Linked DNA regions of Callithrix jacchus. The protein of the gene in region 2 interacts with the protein of the main gene of each other region in a pairwise test. Links are inferred from orthologs where the notes say so. Each region holds a gene or a part of one and is shown on either strand. Other genes may lie near its edges.

Evidence for each region.
Region 1: the proteins of MTUS2 (region 2) and BEX2 interact in binary tests that used the Homo sapiens proteins (3 or more experiments, as listed by UniProt). The link is inferred for Callithrix jacchus from reciprocal best matches to the Homo sapiens genes MTUS2 and BEX2.

The regions. Positions count from the first base shown.
Region 1 is NC_133524.1:99,379,255-99,389,063, forward strand, and holds BEX2 (protein BEX2), read right to left. Parts: upstream 5,527-9,809; 5' UTR 5,397-5,526; intron 4,980-5,396; 5' UTR 4,894-4,979; intron 4,530-4,893; 5' UTR 4,525-4,529; coding exon 4,138-4,524; 3' UTR 3,894-4,137; downstream 1-3,893. UniProt on the Homo sapiens protein: Regulator of mitochondrial apoptosis and G1 cell cycle in breast cancer.
Region 2 is NC_133506.1:148,700,307-148,710,109, reverse strand, and holds part of MTUS2 (microtubule-associated tumor suppressor candidate 2), read right to left. Parts: intron 8,978-9,803; coding exon 8,904-8,977; intron 5,335-8,903; coding exon 5,236-5,334; intron 4,200-5,235; coding exon 4,080-4,199; intron 914-4,079; coding exon 816-913; intron 1-815. UniProt on the Homo sapiens protein: Binds microtubules. Together with MAPRE1 may target the microtubule depolymerase KIF2C to the plus-end of microtubules. May regulate the dynamics of microtubules at their growing distal tip.

The DNA of each region.
Region 1 (9,809 bases), on a different chromosome or scaffold from region 2:
TTTACATTAATGTGATTATTGATGTTTGAGTTTAAGTCAACCATCTTATTGTTTGTTTTCATTTGTTCTACCCGTTCTTTGTTCTGCTTATTTTATCTCTTGGGGATTATTTTGAGAATTCCATTTTACCTTATATATTAGCTTATTAGCTATAACTTTTTTACTGGTTGATTTAAGGTTTATAGTACACATCTGTAATGTATCAGAATCTACCTTTAAGTGATATTAATATATAGAATAAGAACCTTAAAATTGTGTACTTTCATTTCCCTTCCTCTGGCCTTTGTGCTGTTATTTTCCCCTCTTCTGGCTTTTGTGCTAAAGTATACATTTTAATCCTAATATGCAGTAAATCAGAGACACTCATAAAGCTTATGTTATTTATTAACCCTCTCTCAGATAGCTTTGCCCTCCACTCTCTGATAGATGTTCAGTGACTGAAAAGGGTTATTTCATATATTCTTCCAGGTTTCAGCTGTTTCAGTTAGGGAGGTAAACTCCATTTTCATTGAAAGCATAAATGTGGATTAGTGTTTTAAATGGTGGTTAATCATAAAGGCTTTGTTTTACTTCTTACCAAAGCGTACTTCCCATGCTATCTGGAATTACTGGAAGAGTCCAGTGTCTGTGTTCCTTCTTGCTCTACCCTTGACTAGAATGTTCAAACTGCAGCACTTTGTTTGGTCATAAAATAGCCTTTGAGTTTATTTTCTACATTTCCTTCAATGGATTTGACTATTTTTTTGAAAAATTTTTTAGACAATTTTGTACTTTTTTTTCTTTTTAATTTTATTTATTATACTTTCAGTTTTGGGGTAAAAGTGCAGACGTGCAGGTTTGTTACATAGATATACACATGCCATGGTGGTTTGCTGCATCCATCACCTTGTCATCTACATTAGGTATTTCTCCTAATGCTATCCCTCCCCAATCCTCCCACTCCCTGCTATCCCTCTCCTACCCCCCGACCCCCTGACAAGCCCTGGTGTGATGTTCCCCTCCCTGTGTCCATGTGTTCTCATTTTTCAACTCCCACTTATGAGTGAGAACATGCGGTGTTTGGTTTTCTGTTCTTGTCAGTTTGCTGAGAATGATGGTTTCCAGCTTCATCTATGTCCCTGCAAAGGACATGAACTTATTGTTTTTATGGCTGCATATTCCATGGTGTATATGTGCCACATTTTCCCCCCCACCCTCCCCCACCACATTTTCTTTATCGAGTCTATCATTGACGGGCATTTGGGTTGGTTCCAAGTCTTCAGTATTGTGAACAGTGCCACAATAAACATGTGTGCATGTGTCTTTATAATAGAACAATTTATAATCCTTTGGATATATACCCAGTAATGGGATTGCTGAGTCAAATGATATTTTTATTTCTAGATCCTTAAGGCATGGACTTGAATTTTTTGCTAAAAAAAAACAGTAACTGTTATATTAGAAAGTTATGAGATATTATCTACATTATCTCAATTTTGTTAGAAATACATAAGGATTCAAAACGTATTACTCATTACTATTTGTTAAATAGCACTAAATCTATCTTTCTCTTGTTCAGTTTTTCATTCATTTATTCAACGCGTATTTACTGGATGTACATGATATGCTAAACCCATATCTACATCTCAAATATCCTTTATGAACATCCTTTTTCTTTGACAACCAAGGCACAGTCTCTAATATCCCTGTCTGCTCTTTGCCAGAATTTGTAGGTTTTTATGGGAAGAATTTATGTACACATTTTGTGAAGAATGGCCACAGTAAACGAGAAAATGATGCTCACCGTATTACATATAGAAATGATATGTAGGCAAATGCATTGAGAACCTTAGATACAGCTGCTTCTCTTGAGGGAATGTTATGCTCTGCACTGCCTTTTGCTTACTTTCTGCTGGTTGCTGGTAGTTGCTTGAACGTTTTATATGGAGCATAACTACTCACATGCTACTGTCTCAGCTGCCCCTTCAGACACAAACACTCTGTTAAGAGCCAAGAGAAACTGGTTAGCAGAAGACTCTCTCCATAGAGTAGAATCTTAAAACCAACTTTCTCTGAGAAACTGACAGGGAAACTTCAATCTGCCTGGACATGGAAGAGATATGCATTTTTCTGGGCATATGTGTGCCTCACCTTCTCTCATGGATATGCCATCAGTTTACACATGAACTTAATTTTTCCTCATGAACACTTCTTTTTTTTCCACTGAAGCTGATGCTAACACTGACAACCAAAAATAAAAATCTGGTAGGACATAAGCCTCTCCATTCATCAATTTTCCTGCCCTTTCAACTCTAGGCTCTCTTTAATCTTCTGTCTTGTGTCTTAAGTGTTTGCAGGAGGAGAAAAAGCTTTGAAATTACTTAGGCATCTGATTCATGATGGGGTTTGTGATGTTATGTGACATTTTCACCTGCCTATCCACATTTCCCCTTTGGTTCCATAAGTTCTATTGCAGTGTTATATTCTAGAACAGGAGTGGCAAAGTTTTTCTGTTAGGACCATATAAAAAATATGTAGTCACTGAAAGCAAGCTGTACTATCTTTCACAACTACTCAACTCTGCCACTGTAGTACAAAAACAGCCATAGATAACATGTAAATGAATAAGCATGCCATTCATTTAAAAATTTATGGATACCAAAAGTTGAGTTTCATGGTTTTAGTGTCATATTTTCAGGTTTTTCAACCTTTAAAAAATGTAAAAATCATTCTTAGTTATAGGCCAAATAATAGGCAGTGGGCCAGATGGACCATGGGTTGTTTGCCAACCCCTGTTCTAGAATCCTAACTTTAAGTTTGTAAGACTGTCTTCATACATAAAATGTGTAGATTTCATCCGATTAGTACAAACTGCAGGGGATTTTATTTCCCTAGTTCTGCTGGGACACTTAACCCCAATTGTCTTCCCATAGACCTCTCATAAAGGTCTCATTTGTGTATACATTGATTCACTAACATGATATCCTGATGTCCAACTCCATATAGATAACAAAATTCTGTACATTTATGGATTTCAGGTGAATGTGAGCTGGTATGAGGTGGGACTGTCTCAGATTAAAAGTGGGCTGTGTTTCCTCACACATCTTACATAGTCTGCTATACTGAGGAAGAGATTGCCTAGGAGAGAACCACCTGTAAGGAAAGAGATAGACAGACAATGTTTTTCCATGAAACAGAAGAGGGAGGGGGGAATTTGTCCACACTTTTGTAAAGTAGAGCAAGGATTCAATCCACTGGAAATTCCAGATAAATCGGTGGGACTTTATCACTTTGAGGATTCCTGAACATCTGCAATGGTAGGAGCTAGTGTAAGAGCAAAACCTAGCAGACAGAATAATATCCAGGGAAGATGACAATAGAACGCAGCAGCAGAGGAATGAAAGTACCTACTCCTAAGCCTACTGGACTTGTAAGCATAGGGAAGACCTCACCTCGGAAATGTCCTCTAATAACGGAAGGAAATATCTAAAGGGTTGGGTCATGCATGTCACTAAGAGCAAGAACTTGGGAGAAAGTTCACAACCTTATTCTCTCATCTGGTCAATACAGCAACCCTGGGAGGTTGCTTGTCTTCATCTTACTGATAAATATTATGATCTTCAGAGAGATGTGTCACTTACATTTCTAAAAAGAGATCCCAGGGGTAAGCTCAAATTGAGATTCTGTCATAAATGTTTAATAAGTGTACACATTGCTTTTATAAGGTGGTCATATATAAGTAATAGAGTTCCATTTTGAAAAATAAGAAATGATGGATAAGCAAGAATAAAATTCCCTTTTAATTCTACCACAGAGATAAACATTATTTACTATATATGTGTGTGTATATATGTATATATACATGACTGTTTATGTTCATATTTAAGATTTAAAGTAAAAAAGAATGCAGAGAATGCTTTTTAAAACTGCTTTATTAACTTCACAATATATAATGAGCATCTTTCCATGCAGTAGGTAAAACTCGCCTGCTGACAGAAACTTACAAACTGGGTCAGAAACAACATTCAGTTAGAAGCTGGTATCAGGAGACCCACAAGAAATAAGTAACATCAAAAGGTTTGCAACAAAGGTACACCACAAATATGTAAGTTTAGGAAGCAGGGGTCTTCCTATAAACTTCAGGGAAATCATCAGGATTCAGGGCATAAGGCAAAACTCATCGTGATGGTCATGGTGAGGGGGGTCAGTGCTGACAGCCCGCAGACTATGACTCAACTGCTTTTCCCTCAACTTTTCCATCAGCTGTCTCACCTCCTCCCCAAGCCTTTCCATATTCTCCTCTCTCATCCTTGCCTGTGGTTCTCCAAGCCTATGCATCATGTCCCATCTATACTGCAGGATGGGCTGCCTAACGCGGAACCGCCTACGATTTCCTCTGGGCACATAGTATTCACCAGCATCCAAAGGGAGGGCCAAGGGCTCCCCTTTATTAGCAACTTGCTTCTTTTCATCTTTTTCTTCATTTTCCTCTTTGACATTTTCCACGTTGAGATTGTTTAACGCTAGTTCCTCTTTGGACTCCATTACTCCTAGGAGACAAGAGAGAAAAAAAGAGACTCAATTCTTGGTGAACCGATCAGCACCGAGGACAGAGACCCTACTATACACCTTTCAAAATTCAGAGCCCTGGACTTCAAAGGCCATTTTAAAATTTCATTTTTTTTTCCACCAGAGAGACCCAGTGTGCCCTCGCGGGGAGACAATCCTAGCCCCTCTCTCTTGCAAAGCCCACCATCTTCCCTGCAGATCCATCTCCAGGCCTCTGCAGGCACCAAAATGGAGGACGAGGATGGGGTGGGGGAGGGGAAGGATTGCGAAGTGTTGAGTGAAGGCATGGATTGGGGTCTCAGACTGGGCTTTCCTCACGTTCCGACCCCCGCCCCACCACCGTACCTCGCACCGACCTGGGCCTATCCTTGCGATCTCCTCCTCCCGATTCTCGACTCGAGGCGCGCCGCCGGACACTTAGTCCCTCAGACCTGCAGAAGAGCAGGGGGCAGGGAGTGGGGGCTGCTGGAGCGGAACGCTAGCGATGACAAGCTGTCACCCAGCCCCTTCCCCGTCCCGAGCCCGGGCCCTCCTCGCCGCCCTCGCCCCCCGCCTCAGCAGCCCCTCCCCCCAAGATGACCACCATTTTCTGCACCAAGAAGGGCGGGGCAGGGGTGTCGGAAAAGCTTGCGCAGGTGGCGGAGGCAGGTGTTTCCGAAGGGTCGTAGCCTCAGGACCGCCGGCTCTCGCGAGGCCGGGCACCTCTCGGCTCAAGGAAGGCGGTGGGGCCCGGGGTCTGCTTCATGGTGGACCGCCTGCGTCACCGCGCGGCTACCCGGGGGTGGGTCATCCTCAGGCCGGGGCCGCTCCCCAACACCAACCCCAGGGATCTCCTCCAGGTCCCTTACCTGCTTCCCCTCCGCTTCCTACTTTCGGGGTCGCCCCCGGCCCGCACGTTCTCAGGGCCACCTGGAGCAGGTACCGCTGCCGAGAAGGGAGCGAGCGACGGCGGCTCTGACACCAGAGCGAGACAGACTCACTTGGCAGGTCACGTGGGGCGGTTGTCATCGCCAGCGGCTCCGCCCCCGTCCCACGCCCCCTCCTGCAGCCCCGAGTCAGGCGGGGCTTTCGGGCCAGCCCCCATTCACACCGGGAGTCCCTTTGAACATCCCCGGCCTGAGCTTTGCCACTCTCCTTTCTTTGTGTGTTCTTCGGACTTCCTCTGCCTGCCCAGGGAGGAACATATCATCTCAGGGAGATGTTAGCCGTTCCCACTCTGGGGACTTGCCTCTCTCTGTCCTTGGCTCCCAGGATTCACCTCCTTCTGTCCTCTCTCCTACCAATACTCTGATTTCCCTCCACTAAAACTAGTGGAAGAGGTATATCAGAAAAGGAGCCCAAAAGAGTAGACTTTTCTCATTCTTAATACCTTTCTGTGTTCTTTCATATGAAACAAAAAATATATACGTCTTAAAAGAGGAAAAAATGTTATTTTTAATTGAAAAACGGGATTAAAGTTGGGGAAAACATCCTAACCACCTGTCCTGTTAAATCATTATACAAATATAGACACTACCGACAGCTGCTTTTTTAGAACTTGGAAAAGGACAGGGCAGCTGATGACTCCCCTTTTGAGGGGCCCCTGGACATATGAGGCCCTTCTATGAGATGAACTAGTGAGTTGTAGTGCTACAGAGCTTTGTTGGGTTTTCAGAACTAAAAGAAAAAAAAAGACCTTTTTCACAAATTTCTGGTTCAAATGATAATAAGTATGTCTTTATTTGCATGTCAATAATCATGAATTCAGGAAATCCGAAGAGATCTACAGTTAATCTACTATAGGAGTAAGAATTGATTTTAAGAAGGTTGCAGATACAAGATAAGTATTACAAACTTACTCATAAATTCATTTGGAAATGCAAAGGACCTAAAACAGACAAATACTTTTTAAAAAATATCCTAGGCCAGGCGTGGTGGCCCATGCCTGTAATCACAGCATTTTGGGAGGCCAAGACGGGTGGATCACGAGGTCAAGAGATAGAGACCATCCTGGCCAACATGGTGAAACCCCGTCTATATTAAAAATACAAAAATTAGCTGGGCCTGGTGGCCCGCACCTACTCGGGAGGCTGAGGCAGGAGAATCGCTTGAACCCCAGAGGCAGAGATTGTAGTGAGCCAAGACCACGCTGCCGCACCCCAGCATGATGACAGAGCGAGACTCAGACTCAAAAAAAAAAAAAAGGAAAAGAAAAACAAAAATCCTGCAAATCTTGAGAGTTACATTATATTATTTCAAGACTTAAATTATAATGATACAGTAGTTAATGTAGTAGTAAACACAGACCTGTGGATTAATAGAACCCGAATAGGGAGTCCAGAAATAGACTGATACCTACGTTGTTAATTAACTTTTGACAAAGATGTCGGGATAACTCAATATGGAAAGTATAGTGTTTTAACAAATGGTGCTGAAATAACAGAATTCTTTTTTTTTAAATTTATTATACTTTAAGTTTTGGGATACATGTGCAGTTCGTGCAGGTTTACTACATAGGTTTATGCGTGCCATGGTAGTGGTTTGCTCCATCCATCTCCCCATCATCTACATTAGGTGTTTCTCCTAATGCTATCCCTCCCTAATCCCCTCACCCCCTGCTATTCCTCCCCTAGCCCCCCACCCCCCAGGCCCCAGTGTGTGATGTTCCCCTTCCTATGTCCGTGTGTTCTCATTGTTCAACTTCCACTTATGAGTGAGAACACGTGGTGTTTCATTTTCTGTTCTTGTGTCAGTTTGCTAAAAATGGTTTCCAGTTTCATCCATGTCCCTGCAAAGGACATGAACTCATCCTTTTTTATGGATGCATAGTATTCCATGGTGTATATGTGCCACATTTGCTTTATACAGTCTATCATTGATGGGCATTTGGATTGGTTCCAAGTTTTTGCTGTCGTGAACAGTGCCGCAATAAAATACGTATGCTTGTATCTTTATAACAGAATGATTTATAATCCTTTGGGTATATACCCAGTAATGGGATTGCTGGGTCAAATAGTATTTCTATTTCTAGATCTTTGAGGAATCACCACAGTCTTCCACAAAGGTTGAATTAATTTACACTTCCATCAACAGTGTAAAAACGTTCCTATTTCTCCACATCTTCTCCAGCATCTGTTGTCTCCTGATTTTTAAATGATCACCATTCTAACTGGCATAAGGTGGTATCTCAATGTGATTTTGATTTGCATTTCTCTAATGACCAGTGATGAGCTTTTTTTCATATGTTTGTTGGCTGCATACATGTCTTCTTTTGAAAAGTGTCTGTTCATATCCTTTGTCCACTTTTTGATGGTGTTGTTTTTTCTTGTATATTTAAGTTCTCTATAGATTTTGAATATAGCCCTTTGTCAGATGGGTAGGTTGAAAAAAAAATTTTTATTGTACTTTAAGTTTTGGGTTACATGTGCAGATCTTGCAGGATTGTTGCATAGGTGCACACATGCCATAGTGATTTGCTGTCTCCACCCCCACCTCCGTCACCTACATCAGGAATTTCTCCCACTGTTATCCCTCCCCAATCTCCCCGCTCCCTGCTGTCCCTCCCCTTGACCCCTACCCCCAACATACCCCAGTGTGTGATGTTCTCCTCCCTGTGCCCATGTGTTGTCATTGTTCAACACCCACCTATGAGTGAGAACATGCAGTGTTTGGTTTTCTGTTCTTGTGTCAGTTTGAATTGCAAAAAATTTTTTCCCATTCTGTTGGTTGCTGGTTCACTCTATTGATAGTTTCTTTTGCTGTACAGAGCTCTTAAGTTTAATAGATCCCATTTGTCTATTTTGGCTTCTGTTGCCATTGCTTTTGGTGTTTTAGTCATAAAGTCCTTGCCTGTGCCTATGTCCTGAATGTTATTGCCTAAGTTTTCTTCTAGAGCTTTAATGGCGTTAGGCCTCATGTTTAAATCTGTAATCCATCCAGAGTTAATTTTTGTATAAGGTGTAAGGAATGGATCCAGTTTCAGCTTTCTGCATATGGCTAGCTAGTTTTCCTAATACCATTTATTAAATAGGGAATCCTTTCCCTATTGCTTGTTTTTGTCAGGTTTGTCAAAGATAAGATGGTCGTCATTGTGTGGCATTCTTTCTGAGGCCTCTCTTCTGTTCCATTGGTCTATATCTCTGTTTTGGTACCAGTACCATGCTATTTTGATTACTGTAGCCTTGTAATATAGTTTGAAGTCAGGTAGTGTGGTGCTTCCAGCTTTTTTTTTTTTTTCCTTAGGATTGTCTTGGCTATGCAAGCTCTTTTTTGGTTTCATATGAAGTTTAAGGTGGTGCTTTTTCCAATTCTGTGAAGAAAGTCATTAGTAGCTTGATGGGGATAACATTGACTCTACAAATTACTTTTGGCAGTATGGCCATTTTCACAATATTGATTCTTCCTAACCATGAGCATGGAATGTTTTTTTATCTGTTTGTGTCCTCTCCTATTTCCTTGAGCAGTGGTTTGTAGTTCTCCTTGAAGAGGTCCTTCACATCCCTTGTTAGTTTTATTTCTAGATATTTTATTCTCTTTGCAGCAATTGTGAATGGGAGTTCACTCATGATTTGGCTCTTTTTGTCTATCATTGGTGTATAGGAATTCTTGTGATTTTTGCACATTGATTTTGTATCCTGGGACATTGCTAAAGTTGTTTATCAACTTAAGGGGTTGAGACGATGGGGTTTTCTAAATATACAATCATTTCATCCACAAAAAGAGACAATTTGACATCCTCTCTTCCTATTGGAGTACACTTTATTTCTTTCTCTTGCCTAATGGCCCTAGCCAGAACTTCCAATACTATGTTGAATAGGAGTGGTGAGAGAGGGCATCCTTGTCTTATGCCAGTTTTCAAAGGGAATGCTTCCAGTTTTTGCCCATTCAGTATGACATTGGCTGTGGGTTTGTCATAAATAGCTCTTATTATTTTGAGGTATGATCCATCAATACCTAGTTTATTGAGAGTTTTAGCATAAAGGGCTGTTGAATTTTGTCTAAGGACTTCACTGCATCTATTGAGATAATCATGTTGTTTTTGTCTTTGGTTCTGATTAGGTGATGGATTACGTTTATAGATTTGAGGATGTTGAACCAGCCTTGCATCCCTGGGATGAAGCTGACTTAATCGTGGTGGATAAGCTTTTTGATGTGCTGTTGGATTTGGTTTGCCACTATTTTATTGAAGAATTTTGCATCAATGTTCATCATGGATATTAGCCTGAAATTTTCTTTTTTTGGTTGCGTGTCTGCCAGGTTTTGGTACGGGGATGATGTTGGTC
Region 2 (9,803 bases):
TACAAGAGCATGTGTGGGCGAGGATGTACATATAAGGATGAGCGTGCAAATAGGGCATGTGGATGGGTGTGAGGGCTTGTATGAATATATGAGTGTTTGCACGAGTGGGAGTATGCAAGTGTGTGTGTGAGCGAGCATGCAGTGCATGTGAGTGCATGTGAGTGTATGCACGTCCATGAGCTGTATGTGCAAGGCTAACACACCGTGGGTGAACGCTGCGGAGCCTAGCTGAGGTCAGTGGGCAGAGACCTCAAAGTGGGCCTGGGTCTCACTGAGATGGCTCGGCCCTCATGGAAGAGCAGCTGATGAAGCCAAACCCTGCTCTATCCCCCAAAACCCTGCTGTATCCCCACACTGCGCTGTGGGAGGAAGGAGCCTGAACACGCTTCCTTGGAAGCTGGGGCACCTCAGAGCAGGGCCCCACAGAGACAGGCAAGACCTGGAAGGAAGTGGTGAATTTTTGGAAGCCGGGGTGTCAGCCAGTGGTGGCTCTCTTTTTAGCCTGGGAACACCCAGCTGGCCCCCCTCTCCCAATCTCTTCCAAAAACCAGCCCCTTCCCCTCCCAGTGCTACAGGAGGACCCTGCTGCACACATCTGCTGATTTCACTCTTTTCTCCCCAAGGTGGGGGCCACTGATATGTGGCCAGGTGTAGGCAAGGTGGCCACAGGGGTCTGTTCTTGTTCTTCAGGTCATGGGGGAAACAGCAAGAGACTGTGGGGAAAGACTCGCAGCCCAGAGTGAGGGAAACTGGATATTGTGACAAAAAGAAGCTCAAGAGGAAGCCACTTCGTAGGTGACACCCCGCCCACCTACCTGGTGACAACTGTGTTTTGGTCGATCCTTGCTTTAAGGTCTTCATTCTGCTGTTGGAGAATCTGGATCTTTTCTTCTAGGATGATGTTCTTTTCTGCCTATAAAGGATACAGTATTTAAGAGGTTCTACCAAGGCCATAAAATAGGGAGTAAACCGGTGCCCTCAGCTCTGGGCATTGGAGGATTATCAAGAACAGCATTTTGCACATATCAGTTTGCAATGCACTAGTGGGTTGTAAAATCAGGTTACAGGAATGTGACCAGCATTTCTTCTTTAAATGAAACAGAACAGAAAATGCCCATGTGTACTGTATGTAGCAAATTTCAGATATTTTTTATTTCATATATATAGAGTGTGTGAGTGAGTGAGAGAAAGAAAGAGAGAGAGTGTGTGTGTGTGTGTGGAAGGGGGTTGTGATATAAAATGTATTTCTTACAGTGACCGTCCCCAGGCCCTTGCCATTGTCAGAGATAAACCATGAATCCCATCAGGACCTCATCTGACTAATGGTCCCATGGTTCTTCCCAAAGGGTCAACCACACTGCAGCAGTATTCCTGGCCAGCGTGCGCGTGTGACATGACATTCTGAATCCATGAAGGGATGGAAATCTACATACTGTAAGCATGCTTTTTCCTGTTGAGGCTGTGGGCAGCCAGGAATGCAAAGCCCAAGCCCAGCTTGGTACATTACCCCAAATCCCGTCATCCATGGCTGCTACCCCCCGCAATTGATGCCGTTTCCTCTGTTAGCATGTCCTCGAGGGCCTGAGACCTAGCTGAGTACAGTTCCAGTCTAAGACAAATTTAGAAATATCTTTTGAAAAGAATGTGACAAGTTCACTGTTAATCTAGTTAATCTTTTTATGTTTTTGAGACAGAGTCTTGCTCTTTCTTCAGGCTGGAGTGCAGTGGCACAATCTCAGCTCACTGCAACCTCTGCCTCCTGGGTTCAAGCGATTCCCCTGGTTGAACTCCTCAGACTCCTGAGTAGTTGGGACTACAGGCACGCGCCACCACAACCGGCTAATTTTTTGTATTTTAGTAGATACAGGGTTTCACCATATTGACCAGGCTGGTCTCGAACTTCTGACATCATGATCCACCCACCTTGGCCTCCCAAAGTGCTGGGATTACAGGTGTGAGCCACCACACCTGGCACTGTAGTTAATCTTTAAAGAATGTAGTTGATTTTTAAAGTTCCCTATTTGCAAAATGTTCCTTGTATCTGGTATAACCAAACGAGGGGCTCGTCTAGGATCACACATTGCATTTGGTGGCCGTGTCACCTCTTTCTCTGGAAGCATCCCTTTTTGCAGACATCACTTGCAGTATGGGTGCTTCTCAGTGAATGGGGCAGACCAGGTGATGCTGGATTGTCAAGATTCTGGGCAATGCTGACAAAGAACAGGGCCAGGGGCCAGTCCTGTGGCTAGGATTCCTAAGCCCTGTTCACGGATGGTTCCTTGTCCATGAACAGGGCTTAGGAATCCTAGCCACAGGACTGGCCTCTGGCCCTGCTCTTTAGCAAGGCACCTCACCCAGCCCTCATTTTTGCTCTCAGGAGTTGAAGTGATCAAATGGGTTCGTTTTTGCCTGGAAAGATTTCTGGGATGAGAAGTCATATGGGCAGGCAGAAAGCCTGGAGCATAGCTAAAATCAGCCAAGTAAACCCAGAGGTTTGCTGGTGACCCAATGCAAAGGGCCCAGCCAGGAGCGGGAGGATAGGTGACTGCTCTCAGAGTGGCTGATCCAGCACTGGCCAGGTTGCAAGGCAGGGTTCGGTTGGGGCAGGCATGGTCCTGTAGCTCCCCACCAGCCCTAGGCCTGGCCTGAGCTAGGAAGTCCTGGGCTGCTAGAGGGTAGAGAGTGGCCAGCATTGCTCACTTGACAATCCAGAATCTTGACAATCCAGCATCACCTGGTCTGCCCCATTCACTGAGAAGCACCCATACTGCAAGTGATGTGCAAAAGGGATGCTTCCAGAGAAAGAGGTGACACGGCCACCAAATGCAATGTGTGGTCCTAGACGAGCCCCTGGTTTGGTTATACCAGATGCAAGGAACATTTCACAAATAGGGAACTTTAAAAATTGGATGAGATGATCAGTTCCTGCCTGAGATGGCACATTAAAGACATAAAACGCTTAGATGATATAATACCTGGGCTGTGTGTGTGTGTGCATACAGACACTGCCTTACAGAGAAAAAGTTCTGGAAAGTATAAGCACTGGTAGGAATATGATGTTATAATCTGCTTTTCTTCGGTTTATCTTATTTCATAGTTTCCCAAAGTACATATATTATTTTTGGTAGTATCAAAAGTGTATTTTTAAAGTAATAATAATAAAGGGAAAAAATAAGAATCTGAGATCCTGGGGCCAACTTCCAGATCAAGATGGGCTGCCCTTGGAAGGAGGCTTCCCTGCCACTCCCTTTGCACACCTTTCTGGGACTCTAGCCCTGGCCAGGGAGGGTGGGGGTGATGGGGGGGTGGGGTGGATGCTTGTGCCCCAGCGTAGGGGGTGAAATCCTGCGTGTTCTGTGTCCCCTAGGGGGTGACTTTTGCCAGCTCTGCAGGAGCCAGGCTGGTGGGCTGAGCTGGGTGAGTGTCAGTGAGAGCAGGGACGCTGTTCTGGGCTGAATGTTTGTGTCCCCCAAAATTCCTGTGCTGAAACCTAACCCCCAAGGAGGCGGAGCTTTGGGGAGGGGATCAGATCCAGAAGGTGAGCCCCTGTGAATGGGATTAATACCCTTATAAAAAGGGCCCCAGGAAGATCCCTGGCCCCTTCTGCCTTGTGGGGACTCGAAGCACTGGGCAGGGGCTCCTTAGCACCATCTCCGGCATCTGTAAAGCGGCTCATGGCAGCAGCTGCTCCACAGGCAGCTGTCGGAGTTAGGAGCAGGCTCACTCAGGGAAAGTGCTCTGTGCAGTGCCTGGGCACTGGAGATGCTGTATCCTGCTGGGTCACCACATGTCCCCAAGACAGGGTGTAGAGACAGTGCAATTGCCAGAAAACCAGGGTGAAGCAGAAAGAGGCCGCCTGTCAGGAAGGTTTCAGAGTTGGACAAGGTGAGGCCACCTCTAAGATTTCTTATCAGAGCTCCTGGCTTCCCAGGAAAGGCCAGCCATGGGATTTTCTGCTTAGGTATAAGCAATGGGCAGGTAAGGGACACACCTGGCCGAACACCATCAGCAATGACATCAGGAACGACAGGAGGAGCGTCATGGAGGTTAGTCACTCCCATGCAAACAGACCAACTCACCAGCTTTTCCAGCTCAAGAATCTTCTTTTCCTGCTCGTGTATTTGCTGATTCTTCATCTCTAATACCTGCTTCAGACTCTTCATGTCTTCTTCCAAGTGCTGATAAGGAGCCAGTGCAATCTACAGGGGCAGAGAGCCATAAAATGTTGACCGGGGCTCCCGGCAAAACCCAGTATTAACCAATATCACTAATCCAGCTAAATCCAGCCTCTGGACCAACGCCCCAATAGCAATTGCACAGCAAAGACAGAGGATGCTCGCAGTCTTCCCTGATGAAGGGGTCCTGCTGCTTCCCCCTGGGAACCCATTCTGTGCGGGAGCAGGTGACACACAGCCATCGTCCACTGGGAAGTTTGATTCCGGAAATGCTGGATGCTGCCAGCCCATGCCCAGCAGGGAACTCATGGGTCGAAAGAGTAAACCCAACACTAGCCTTTAACATTCACCTGGATGACTGGTAGCTGGGGCTCTTCTGGGTCCCACCTATACCCATAAAGAGCCCATGCACAGGAAATGAGCAGAGTGGCTTAAGAAGCAGAAAAGCCATTTTGGAAAAAGACACATTACAGTAGTGCTGCTGGATATAGCAAATTAAAACATGGTATGTCCTGTTAAATTCAAATTTCAGATAAAGCACGTTTTAAAAAAGTGAGCACAAGTATTGCTTGGGACATACTTAGACTCAAAAATTTATTTACCTGTAATTCAAATTTAACTGCGTGTCTTGTATCTTATTTGGCAACCCTACGTTAGAGAGAAGGAGTTTTGCCAGATTTCCTGAAAAAAATTCCCCTCAACCTATTAACTCCTGCTGTAGCCAAGGCTGCCCGTGTCAGCCTAAAAAGCTGGGGGAGAATGAGATGGAAGGGGTGGTCGGGCAAGGGTCGGGGGTTGCCGGACCATGCTGATCACAGGGGCCCCGGAACCTCGGCTGGGCAATGCTGTGGAATTTGGCAAAAATAACACGTAGCTGGAGAAATCCACAGCTGCTGTCTGACTCTGGGGAGATGTGCTGACAGAAATTGTTTACAAATCCAGGGGAGGTCGTGACCAGCTGTCACTTCAGCAAGGGATTCACAGAGAGGCCTTGTCTTGGGACAAGACTGCTGAGGGAGTCCCGTGGCCTGGGGCTGGAAGCCTGGAATCCCGAAACTACCTCCAGCTGCTCCTCCGTGCTCTTCCTCAAGGCCTCTTCGAAGCGGCGTGCTCTGTCCCGCAGAGACTGGCTCTGGAAGGTCAGCGTGTCCACCTGGTCCTGGAGTAATGACATGAGGAGTCCAGCTGGGGGCGCTACAGCCTGCCGCTGCCACAGCTGGGGCAGCTTCAATCAGCAGGCCACCACTTTCTTCAGCATCCTTAGAGTGTCTCCCTTGGGACTGAAGAAAGAGGTGCCCAAGGGGACCCCCAAAATCACATGATGGGCATGGTTTCCCCCAACGCCTACCCGTGGCTTGCCCTTCTTGGCTCTTTGTCAGGAAGAAACCACAAAAACACTGTGAACCGGGGGGCATCTCACAACATCTGATCCTATAGAAGCAGACAATCCTCAGGGAGAGGCGTCTGGGCCAGGAGGCACCCAGCCCTGGCTTTGGGAAGGACCACAGTGAAGGTACTTCAAAGAATCATTCTCATTTATGAAGCTCAATCCAGAACCCTTCCAACCCTCCTTCACTTCTTTCTCTGCCTTGGGATCCCTCTCACATCACCAAACCTTCTGGCCACCGAGCCCTGCTATCCTGCCTCCTGAATGTCCCTAGAAGCCACAGACTCCCCTGAGCTCAGCCACTCGGCTGGCTCCATCCTGACACGATTCTTCTTTCTCCTGAAGTATCACTCCTTTACCCTCACGCTGCAGTCAAGCCCTCTTTCTAATGTGCAAAGCGGAACCTGTCCTTCCCCGACCTCCTACCCCACTGCCCTCAAGGTGCCGTGTACACTCCCTAACGCAGCACCCTCCCGCCTCGCTGCCTCCCTCTCCTCTCACGCCAGCTCTCCTGCTGGCAGTGCCCTCCTCCAGCCAGCTGCCTCTCACTCCTGCTTCATTCTGGCTCCCACGCAGCCTTCCTGGCCTGACAGCTGGGTTTCATGTCCCTGATAGGAGCTCACATGGAAGCTGAGTCCACACAGTCTCCTCCTCCCTGCTGAGACCCGCTCCCTGGCCAGACTGGCACTCCCAGCCCTCTGCCTTCCCATGCCCGTCAGCTAGGGGGGCAGCTGGCGGCTCTCCACCTGCAGGTTGAAGGAAAGCAGGAGTGTCTATGGGGACACCATGCCCCTTCCCCAGCTCCCAGGGCAGATGCACCTGCGCTGACTCTGTCCCACTCAGCCTGCCCATGACTCCCCACACCACAGGCTGGCAAAGGACCACTGATGCCCAAGAAGCGCTTCACCCTTCGTGTCTCACTCATGCAGACCAGTCCAAAGCTCTGTTACAGCACCATTTCTGTAACATCAAAACACGGAAACTAGGGTGTCCCGTGAATTCTTCCAAAGAAAAATATACATATATATAATACACACACACACACACACACACACACACACACACACACACACACACACATACATATATGAGAGACAGAGACAGGGTCTCACTCTGTCGTCCAGGCTGGAGTGCAGTGGGTACAATCTTGGCTCACTGCAACCTCCACCTCTCAGGCTCAAGTGATCCTCCCATCTCAGCCTCCTGAGTAGCTGGGACTACAGGCATACACCACCACACCCAGCGAATTTTTGTATTTTTAGTAGAGATGGGGTTTCACCATGTTGGCCAGGCTGGTCTTGAACTCCTGACCTCAGGTGATCTGCCCCCCTCAGCCTCCCAAAGTGCTGGGATTATAAGCGTGAGCCACTGCACCCAGCCTACTCCCATTTTATTTTTAAGAAACGAAAGTTCCCACAGTGCCATTAAATGCAAGTGCCGCTGCATGAGGGCAGTGCGCTGCAGGCGGGAGCTTGCGTGCCTGAGCTGAAATGCCCCTCCGGGCCCCAGCACACGCCACCTGCTACACTGACTATAAAAATGCCTTTTGCTCCTTGGCTCCTACACCAAACCTTGGTGTTGCCAGAGAAAGGATTTCTTTTAAGCCTCTTTCCCTCCATTAAAAAAGAGAACAACAGAAAACTCGTCAGGCAATTATAACATAGGATGGATCTAAAATACCAAATTGTGATTTTTCTGCCTCAGTCACCATCACTCAAAACATCTGCAGGGAGAGAATGTGCTGTTGCAATCAACTTGGGCTGACTTCTTTGTGTCAAGCTAAGAGGCACAAAGACACAGCTGGTAGCCTGACCCAGCATGGGTCACTGGGGAATCAAGCGATAAATAGCATGGCAACAATCATAATAAAGGTAACAGTGCTTGTGGTTATTATAACAGTTACAATAGCTGACACTTATTAGCGCTGACCTCAGCCACCCCAGGGCTATCCACTTTTCACACGTTATTTCCCTTCATCTGTTCACACCTTGAGAAAGGTATTACCATCCTTAAAGAGTAAACTAAGGTTTATAGAGGATATGTAACTCTCCAAGATGTGAAAGCTAGTAAGAGCTAGCACAGGGGGGATTTAAATGAAAACTCGTCTCCAACTACCAAATCTGTTTCTCCAGGTGCCGGCAGCCCAAGGAGGCTGGCTTGAGCAATTCCACCCTCCTTGCACCAAATTACCTCCAGTCCAAATACATTCTGCTGCACAGAGAGCCACAATGAAAACTGCCCAGTTCAGGACCATTTGGTCAGTGGCAGGGCACAGACTCCCAGATGAGACAAAACTCTCATTCCTTTGGGTTTGGGATTGGATGGGATTTTCATGTTCCTTTAAGGAATTGCCGGTGTGTATACGAGGAAGGCAGTCTGGGGTTAACCGGCCAAGGGCAAACCACACAAGCACTGTGCAGGCATCGCACATTTCAGTCTTTGAAGAGTATCCTGGAGAATGTGACCTGGGGTCTCTTCACAATCCTGGACTCTTTTCTTGGTGGGGCAGGCTCAGTGCCATGTATGTTGCCAGAGGAAAGTGAGTCATCAAAGAAGCAGAATTCCTGCCTACATATCACAACTATGGGATTCACTTCCACCATTTCCAGGTGGAAGTGAGCCTAATATTTAAAAAATAATTTTGTTGTGATTGGAATTGCTACACCTGGAAAGGGAAGCAGGGCCCCCAGTGTCCCCCTGGCTTCTCAGACAGCTCCTCTCTAGGGCTGGGGGATGTCAATGTCTTTTCACAGAAGCAGCTGCCTGAGTCTCTGTAAGGTGGGAAGGAGACCCTGCATTCTCCCTTGGGGGCCTGCAGGACATCAGGAAGCCCCTCTGACATCTGAGACCAGCATATCCTAAGGGCGGAAGTGAGAAGCAGAGACGGTGTTTTCATATCAGCCACCTCCAGGTAACTGCAGCCCGTTTTATGATGCTCAGAGCATGTTCTGTGAATTCTGACCTGCACAGCCCTCCTTGCACCATTCCCCCTGCCTGAAACACTCACTTCCCCAAGTCCGCCTCTTGCTTTGAACCTAGCTCAGTTACTGCTCGGATACTCCAGACCACAGCAAGTGCAGAGTACTCTTTCTGAATGTCTGTAGTGCTCACTAACTGCATTATTCATTCGGTGATGGTATGTGTTACCTATGGTTGTCTGTTACTATTTGCATCACAGCTCTCTGAGCAGACAGCACATGTCTTAAGGGTAGGGAGTATGACTTATTTACCTCTATTCCAGTGTCTAGTACAGGATTTAGTACACAGTAGGTGCTGAATGAATGTTTGTGGGTGGGAATGATGATCTCGATATCAGGTAAGAAAATTAAAGAAATACTAACCTGTAATGACAGTCGCAGTTTTTCAAAATTTTCTTCTAATTCTTTCTTTTCAAGCTCATGAGTGGACATCAATTCTGGAAAGAAGACATTAAATTGTTAAGTTGGTCTTTCTTTTGAAAAGGATGAAACAAGGCTCTCTGGCAGACTACGACCAGAGGCTTCAGGTAAATAAATCACTCCTGTGCAGCAGATTCAAGCCTAAGGGGCTCCTCCACTGGTGTGAAATTGTGTGTGATGACTGGGATTGTATTCAGGAGAGAGAAAGAAAGAAGGGACTGGGGGAAAGGGGCGGGAAAGAGAAGATGGACAGACAGAGCACACACAGAGTGCGCACACTACACACACACACACACACACATCACATACACACACCACACGCACACATCACATACACACACCACACACAAACATCGCATAAATGCATACCACACACCACACACACACATCACATACACACACACCACACACACATCATATACATGCACACCACACATCCATCATATACACACACATGCCTACCACACACATCAATACACATACCACATACAATACACACCACACACATTTATCACACACACCCACACACCACACACACACCTACCACACACATTACATACATTCACACCACACACCATACACACATATATACCTACCATACAGACATCACATATACACACACCACATACCCTCCACACACACCTCCCACACACATCACATACACACACCACATACAACACATACACCATACACATCACACACACACTACATGCACACATATGCATTACCACACATACCACACATGCCACATACACATACCTACCACACACATACACATCACACAATCACATACACACATTACATGCCACACACTCATACACACCTGACACACAATCACACACA